2 linked regions of the Callithrix jacchus genome follow. The protein of the gene in region 2 interacts with the protein of the main gene of each other region in a pairwise test. Links are inferred from orthologs where the notes say so. Each region holds a gene or a part of one and is shown on either strand. Other genes may lie near its edges.

The links.
Region 1: the proteins of DZIP3 (region 2) and ZCCHC10 interact in binary tests that used the Homo sapiens proteins (3 or more experiments, as listed by UniProt). The link is inferred for Callithrix jacchus from reciprocal best matches to the Homo sapiens genes DZIP3 and ZCCHC10.

What each region holds. Positions count from the first base shown.
Region 1 is NC_133503.1:75,414,353-75,418,837, reverse strand, and holds the start of ZCCHC10 (zinc finger CCHC domain-containing protein 10), read right to left. Parts: upstream 3,028-4,485; 5' UTR 2,959-3,027; coding exon 2,681-2,958; intron 1-2,680.
Region 2 is NC_133516.1:99,714,006-99,717,825, reverse strand, and holds part of DZIP3 (E3 ubiquitin-protein ligase DZIP3), read right to left. Parts: intron 2,181-3,820; coding exon 2,104-2,180; intron 131-2,103; coding exon 1-130. UniProt on the Homo sapiens protein: E3 Ubiquitin ligase proteins mediate ubiquitination and subsequent proteasomal degradation of target proteins.

The sequences.
Region 1 (4,485 bases), on a different chromosome or scaffold from region 2:
CAGTTACTTGGGAGGTTGTGGTGGGAGAATCATTTGAGAATCAAGAGCAAAATCAGAAGGCTAACACAGGGTTTCAAGACGTATTATAAAGCTACAGTAATCATGACACTACCATAGACTTTGTAAATACTGTACATTAAGCTATCCTCATTTTTTTTTTTTGAGATGGAGTTTCACTTGTGTTGCACAGGCTGAAATGCAATGGTGCAATCTCAGCTGACCATAACCTCCGCCTCCCAGGTTGAAGTGATTCTCCTGCCTCAGCCTCCTAAGTAGCTGGGATTACAGGCATGCACCACCAAGCCCAGCTAATTTTTTGTATTTTTAGTAGAGATGGGGTTTCTCCATGTTGGTCAGGATGGTCTCGAACTCCTGACTTCATTCAGGTGATCTGCCTGCCTAGGCCTCCCAAAGTGTTGGGATTACAGACATAAGCCACCACACCCGGCCAGGCTACCCTAAATGAATACATTTTCTTTTCTTCTTAGCTTCCTATAACTTTTTTTTTTTGAGACAGAGTCTTGCTCTGCCAGTCACCCAGGCTCGAGTACAATGGCACGATCTTGGCTCACTTCAACAACCATCTCCCAGGCTCAAGCAATTCTCCTGCCTCAGCCTCCCAAGTAGCTGGGGTTATAGGTACCCACTATCATGCCTGGCTAAATTTTTTGTAGAATGGGGTTTCACCATGTTGGCCAGGCTGGTCTCAAACTCCGGACCTCAGGTCATCCACCCACCTCGGCCACCCAAAGTGCTGGGATTACAAGCGTAAGCCACCTTGCCTGGCTTACTTTATAACTTAGAAATCTTTAAAATTTTTTGACTCTTTTTTTTTTTTTGAGACAGAGTTTCGCTCTTGTTACCCAGGCTGGAGTGCAATGGCGCGATCTCGGCTCACCGCAACCTCCGCCTCCTGGGTTCAGGCAATTCTCCTGCCTCAGGCTCCTGAGTAGCTGGGATTACAGGCACGTGCCACCTCGCCGAGCTAATTTTTTGTATTTTAGTAGAGACGGGGTTTCACCATGTTGACCAGGATGGTCTCAATCTCTTGACCTCGTGATACACCCGCCTCAGCCTCCCAAAGTGCTGGGATTACAGGCATAGCCACCGCACCCGGCTTTTTGACTCTTTTGTAATAACAATTAATGCACAAACACATTTACAGCTGTACAAAAATATTTTCTTTCTTTATATCTTTATTCAATCAGCTGTTTTCTATTAATTTTTTCTTTCTCTTTAAACTTTTTTTGTTAAAAACTAAGACACATTCTCCTCCAAACCTGTTTCTGGATGACTGGGGAGTTGTGGGGGGGGGGGAAACTAACACACATACATATTAGCCTAGATCTACACAGGGTCAGGATCATCAAGACGTCACTAGGCAATAAAATTTTTTAGCTCCATTATAATCTTATGCAACAACCATACAATTAACATATGGAATCTGTTATGTAGTAAGTGACAATATATAGAAAGAGAGATCCAGTGATGGCCTGCATGGCTTGGTCTTATTCAACATTTTTTTTTTTTTGAGACAGAGTCTCATTCTGTTACCGGGCTGGAGTATAGTGGTGCAATCTTGGCTCACTGCAACCTCCACCTCCTGAGTTCAAGCAATTCTCCTGCCTCAGCTTCCCGAGTAGCTGGAACTACAGGTGCATACCACCATGCCAAGCTAATTTTTTGTATTTTTAGTAGAGACGGGGTTTCCATATATTGGCCAGGATGGTCTCAATCTCTTGACCTCGTGATCCACCTGCCTTAGCCTCCCAAAGTGCTAGGATTGTAAACATGAGCCACCACACCCGGCCTTGTTCAACATTTTTATAAATGCCTTGTATGAGGACACAAATGTACGTATTTATCAAACCTGCAGTGACACAAAGCTGACAAGGATACTTAATAACAATGGATGATGGAATCAGGATCCAAAAGGTCTTGACAGGCTGCAACTCTGTGTCGAATCTAACAAGATGAAATTTAACAATGACAAAGGTGAGTCTGACACTTAAGTCCAGAAAATCAATATAAGGCCCTGACTTGATGACAATTCAGGTAGAAAACAGGGTTTTTCAACTGACTGAAATCATAGCAACAGTCAGAAACAAGGAAGTCAGAAAGAAGAGGGGTTAACTGTACAAATACTATTTCCTTTCAGGTCAACATAAGCTTTTAGATAGACTTGCAAAACACAATAGGCCACTTCAGGAGGTAAGTATACATTACTGGAAGTCTTCAAGCCAATTTTGATAACAACTCCGGATGTTGAAGAGGGAGTACTGGAATCTCATATAAGGTTTAATGGAAGAAATGACCCCAAATAGTGCCTAGATTCCATAATTTATTTACATATTGTTAGATGTAATTACAACTTATGAGGTAAAAATAATTTCATTCCAATTGATTTAGTAGACTCATTAGTTAAGTCTCTGAAAGATCTACTGAATGAGGAGGTCATATTTAGGCTTTTTCCCTCCTTTTCTTCTATTAGTCCAAAGACTTTTTTTTTTAAGAGTGATAATAAGGCCAGGCGTGGTGGCTCACGCCTATAATCCCAGCACTTTGGGAGGCCGAGGTGGGTGGATCACGAGGTCAAGAGATCGAGACCATCCTGGTCAACAAGGTGAAACCCCATCTCTACTAAAAATACAAACAGTTAGCTGGGCATGGTGGTGCGCACCTGTAATCCCAGCTACTCAGGAGGCTGAGGCAGGAGAATTGCTTGAACCCAGGAGGCGGAGGAGGTTGCGGTGAGCCAGGATCGTGCCATTGCATTCCAGTCTGGGTAACAAGAGCGAAACTCCGACTCAAACAAAACAAAACAAAAAAAGAGTGATAATAGTACTTTCTCACTTCTCTTGAACTTGAACTCCCGACCTCAGGCGATCTGCCCACCTTGGCCACCAAAGTGCCTGGATTACAGGTGTGAGCCACCATGCCCGGCCTCTCACTTCTCATTACTAACTTAAAAACTAAGCTGGGCACGGTGGCTCACGCCTGTAATCCCAGCACTATGGGAGGCCGAGGCGGGTGGATCACGAGGTCAAGAGATCGAGACCATCCTGGTCCATGAGGTAAAACCCCATCTCTACTAAAAATACAAAATTAGGTGGTGCGTGCCTGCAATCCCAGCTACTGGAGAGGCTGAAGCAGGAGAATTGCTTGAACCCAGGAGGCGGAGGTTGCAGTGAGCCGAAATCGCGTCACTGCACTCCAGCCTGGGCAATGAGACTCCGTCCCCCCCCAAAAAAAACTATTTTATTTATTTATTTATTTATTGAGACGGAGTCTTAATCTGTTGCCCAGGCTGGAGTGCAGTGGCGCAATCTCGGCTCACTGCAACTTCTGCCTCCAGGCAGTGATTCAAGTGATTCTCCAGCCTCAGCCTCCTGAGTAGCTGGAATTACAGGCATGCACCACTATGTCCAGCTAATTTTTTATTTTTAGTGGAGACAGGGTTTTGCCATGTTGGCCAGGCCAGTCTCCCAGTCCTAACTTCAAGTGATCCACCCGCCTTGGCCTCCCAAAGTGCTGGGATTACAGGCATTAGCCATCACGCCTGGCCTTAAAAACTATTTTAAATTTGTTATTATGGAAATAATATATGCTCCTTGTAAATAAAATTAAACCTTTTTGATGAATATAAAATGAAAACTAAAGGCTCCTCTCTTGCTTTTCCCCCAAATACACCCCCAAACTTTCTTGGACCTCGCAAGCTTCTAAAGGCCCTCCTTTGCTGAACCTCTTGTAGACTTACAGTCTGTATACCACAAGAGTTTTTATAATATGCCACGTTTGCCTACTAACAAGAACGGAAGCTCTGTAAAGGTAAGATTTGTCTTTTACAAATCATATAACTCATGTACCAAATACACACTGTAGAAATAAAACATTTAACTTTTTGATACTTCTGAAACAAGAAATAACAGTATTATTCAGATGTTAAGTCTTATTTTCATTTCAAATTTACAGTGGACACTGGTTTTGCTGATTCTGCGTTTACCTCCTCTGACCTATCCACCACGGTCATCATTGGCTATGGTCATCCATTCAATTGTACTGAAAGGTGAATAAGATCTCTAAATCAATCAGAGCTTCACAATCCCACAGGCATGGTTTAGGGTTGGTCACGTAATCCAATCTAGACCAAAGAAGCACAATCAACTTGAAGCTGAGAGAATATAAACGACCCTGGATACTTTCAGCCATATTGGGACCAAAGAAGAGAGTCTATCCAAGTATGGAGCCAACAACCAAAAAGCAGGCATGAGAGACTGGGAGAAATGGGACCCTAGTGACATCATTTAGCACTCTTCTTAAGTATTATCATCCCATTTTTGATCTCAGAACTGTCTGACTTAATGGTGGGCCACAGTGGCTCATGCCTGTAATCCCAACCCTTTGGGAGGCTGAGGTTGGTGGATCACTTGAGGTCAGGAATTGGAGACCAGCCTGACCAACATGGTGAAATTCTGTCTCTACTAA
Region 2 (3,820 bases):
TCTTTTCTCAAAAGAGGGGGTGGCATAGCCTCATCAAATATTTGCCGAACAACGTCAGTACCAGAAATAATAATTATATGAAGCAGATGATAGAAGTAATTATAATCAAGCTTGAAGATAGGCATTTCATCTGAAAATAAATTTTGGGAAGTCAAGACATTCCACATTAATGATCTTTTTCTTTTTTTTTTTTTTTTTTTTTGAGACGGAGTTTCGCTCTCATTACCCAGGCTGGAGTGCAATGGTGCGATCTCGGCTCACCGCAACCTCCGCCCCCTGGGTTCAGGCAATTCTCCTGCCTCAGCCTCCAGAGTAGCTGGGATTACAAGCACGCGCCACCACGCCCAGCTAATTTTTTGTATTTTTAGTAGAGACGGGGTTTCACCATGTTGACCAGGATGGTCTCCATCTCTTGACCTCGTGATCCACCCGCCTCAGCCTCCCAAAGTGCTGGGATTACAGGCTTGAGCCACCGCGCCCGGCCCAATGCTCTTTTTCTATTTGGCCTCTCATATTTTATCCTTAGCTGCTGCAGGATAAAAACTGTTCCAAAAGAATAAAGCACAGTACACTGCTTTGCCACAACTGATGCTCAATAAGCAAGCTGCTTTCTCTCTGTCAAAAAATCTAAACAGAAACATGTTCCCAAGCAAAAGTAATCAAAGACTAATCACCACAGAAGTCTTTCAACCATCCAAGGTTTTGTTCACGTAAATGATCTTTGGCAACAAAATAGCATCAAAGTATTAGATCTTTAAAAATTCTAAAATTTACCAAGAATGCTAATTGTCAATGTTTAATTATGCTTTACTTAAATAATTATACTTTATCCTAATCCACACTGTCCAACAGAATGTGGTGTGATAAAATGTTTTATATTTGCACTAATACTCGTTGAATACTGGAAATGCTGCTTGGGTGACTAAGAAATTGAATTTTAAATTTAATTTTAATTAACTTAAATTTAAGTAGCCACATATAGCTAGGGACTCCTATACTAGATAGCTCAGATCTATATCAAGAAATGCAAAAAGATCTAGTTCCTTGCTACTCAGAGGGTAGCCCAGAGACCAGCAGCATCAGCATCTACCTGAGGGCCTGTTAGAAAAGCACAGTCTCAGGCCCCACTGCAGACCTACTGAACTGAAATCTGCATTTTAACAAAATCACCAAATATATCAAATATATGTATGATGTTTGAGAAACTCTGATCTAATAAACCTCATCTTCTTACCCCTCCAAAAAAGATAATAAAGTAGATATTTCATCAATAACGTGGAATAAGGCATGAAACTGAACTATTTGGTATTTTCCTGTTTTAATAGTGATTTCGAAGGAGAAAAGTAGGCTGAAGTGAATTAGAGAGTACTAATAATCTGATATATGATGGCATTTGGCTTTTGTATGTATATTGAAATATGCATTTGTCACATAATACAGCTTTATTATTTTATCCTTCAAGATTCTATGTTTCAAGAGATTTTTTAAATTAACACTTTTGCTTGAAATACTTGATATACACTGTGGGAGCAAAGTTAAAATGCAAATGACACAGGGAGCTTCCTTTGAGTTGCCAAATAAGAAGTTGGCTGGACTGCCACCAAACTATTCTTCCAAGAGCCTAGGCTCCCTTAATTAAGGTCTTCGGGTTCTGGGCAGGAAATGTACTAGCATGCTCCTAAACAGCTGGCAGCTAAGTTTAGAGTAGTTGGTCTCAAACTCAAAATGTTCATTCCTTTCATGTAAGGGTACTCTAATGCTTGCTCTACTAAGAAGGAATACAGCAGGGGAAGAAGGGTTGGTAGAAAACCTCTGCTAGGACATAATCCCACAGTATAGTTACAGCTATGCACCAGAACTAGCATGTTTCTCTATAGCATGTATAGCATGTAGTATAGCAAGGTAATGTGAGGTCCATACATCTGCTGATCTTCCTGTCTGTGATTTCCAGCCTACACCAAGTGCTACTTGCTGGTATAAACCCAAGTTCAGTGAATGACAAACACAGTGAAGATGTGGTAGTTAATGGCATGAAAGTTGACAACAGAAGTAAAACATTTTAACACAGTTTTCAATGGAAGGCATATAAAAATAAAATAATACCTTTTGTATTAAATTTTAAACTGATCTTCGGTCTTATATCAGTATCAGCTATTTTCAGAGATACCAACTTTTTATAACTGCAAATGGAAAAAAATTAAGTTACAGTGGAAATAAAATAATGCCAAAGTCAGTCAAGATTTCCAGTATAAGCATGACTATTTTCATCTTCTACTCCTAGAAATAATTCAAGAAGGAGAAAAATAATGGAACAAATAAAGCCCACCAACAATGACAACCCTACACTGTCACTTTCATTGGAATTATCAAGTAAGCAGTAGTGCCAGATTTCATACTAAACACATTACAAACTTCCTTGCAAAAAGGCTGTATGGTAGCAGAAAACAAGGAAAGAAAGCTTTGCATTGTAAAACCAAAAAAGCAAGCAAGCAAACAAAAAATTGCAAACTTGTAAATCCTCCCTGGCCCTCTCTTCACCACATACATTTTTTGGCAATAACTATTCCAAGAAAACCCAACTCATTTAACGCTTAGTGATTAAAAATAATAAAGATGCTAGCATAACGTCAATAAAAATAATTCGAAAATGAAGTAGCAAAATGTATTAACTAGACTAAGCACTAGGTAAATGTTGCCATTAAACAGATAGCTTCACTTTGAAATGAACCACAGAAAACAAAACAAAAAAATATTGGACAACACTACAATGTAAACTTAATGAGGAAAGGGATGTTGGTGGTTATTGTTATTTTTAACTGATTTGATCTCCAGTACCACTATAGCACTGTTAATTACACATTACACTGAAAAAAATGTAAAACTCTAACAATATGAAGTTATTGGCAAAGATACTAAGTAAAAGGTATCTCCTATACGGTTTGTGGGGAGTGTACATTTGTAAAACAATTTGGCAAAAGCTAGTGAAGTTACAGATATACACAGGTGGCCTAGAAAGTCTACTTTTAGGCATACATTCTGGAAATTTTTCTGCTCATACAGACCTAGAGACACGTACAAGAGAGTTCACTGCAAACTATGGTTATAGCCAGGAACTAGAAATAAATATCTATCAATGGTAGAATGATTAAATTAGTGAAGTAACACTCTAAAGTTAGAGCAATAAAATGAAAACACTGAAGTATGATAGTAAGAATGGAATCATACCAAACATGATTTTAAAATGCATAAAACCAAATGTTTCCATATATAATGTTTGAAACAAAAAAATTAAACTATACTTATAAGTAACAATAATTTATAAAATAAGTAGAAATAAAACATATAAAAACAATAGCACAAAAAAGGGAAGAAATGGAAATCTATTATTGCAAGATTCTTACACTATACATGCTGTAGTATAATATTATTTAAAAATAGAATTTAGTAAGTTAAAAATATGTATTGTAAGTCCTCAAGCAATACATAATATCCTCAAAAAAGGGTAAAACTAATAAACCAAATCAGGAAATAAACAATAAAACAGAAAAAGAAAACTGAAAACAACAAGGAAAACAGTAGATTTCCAACCATATAAATTAGTAAAGAAAATTCATATGGAATAAAAAACCCAATTTAAAGGCAGAGATTGTCATTTTGGATATACAAAAGAAAGACCTCTGCCACCTACAAAGATATATGTAGGCTGAAGTAAATTGATGCAAAATACTAAACTAGATATACTTCAATGCACTAATCAAAACAAAGCTGGAATAACTATATTAATATCAGACAAAAACACTTAAGGCAAGAATATTATCAG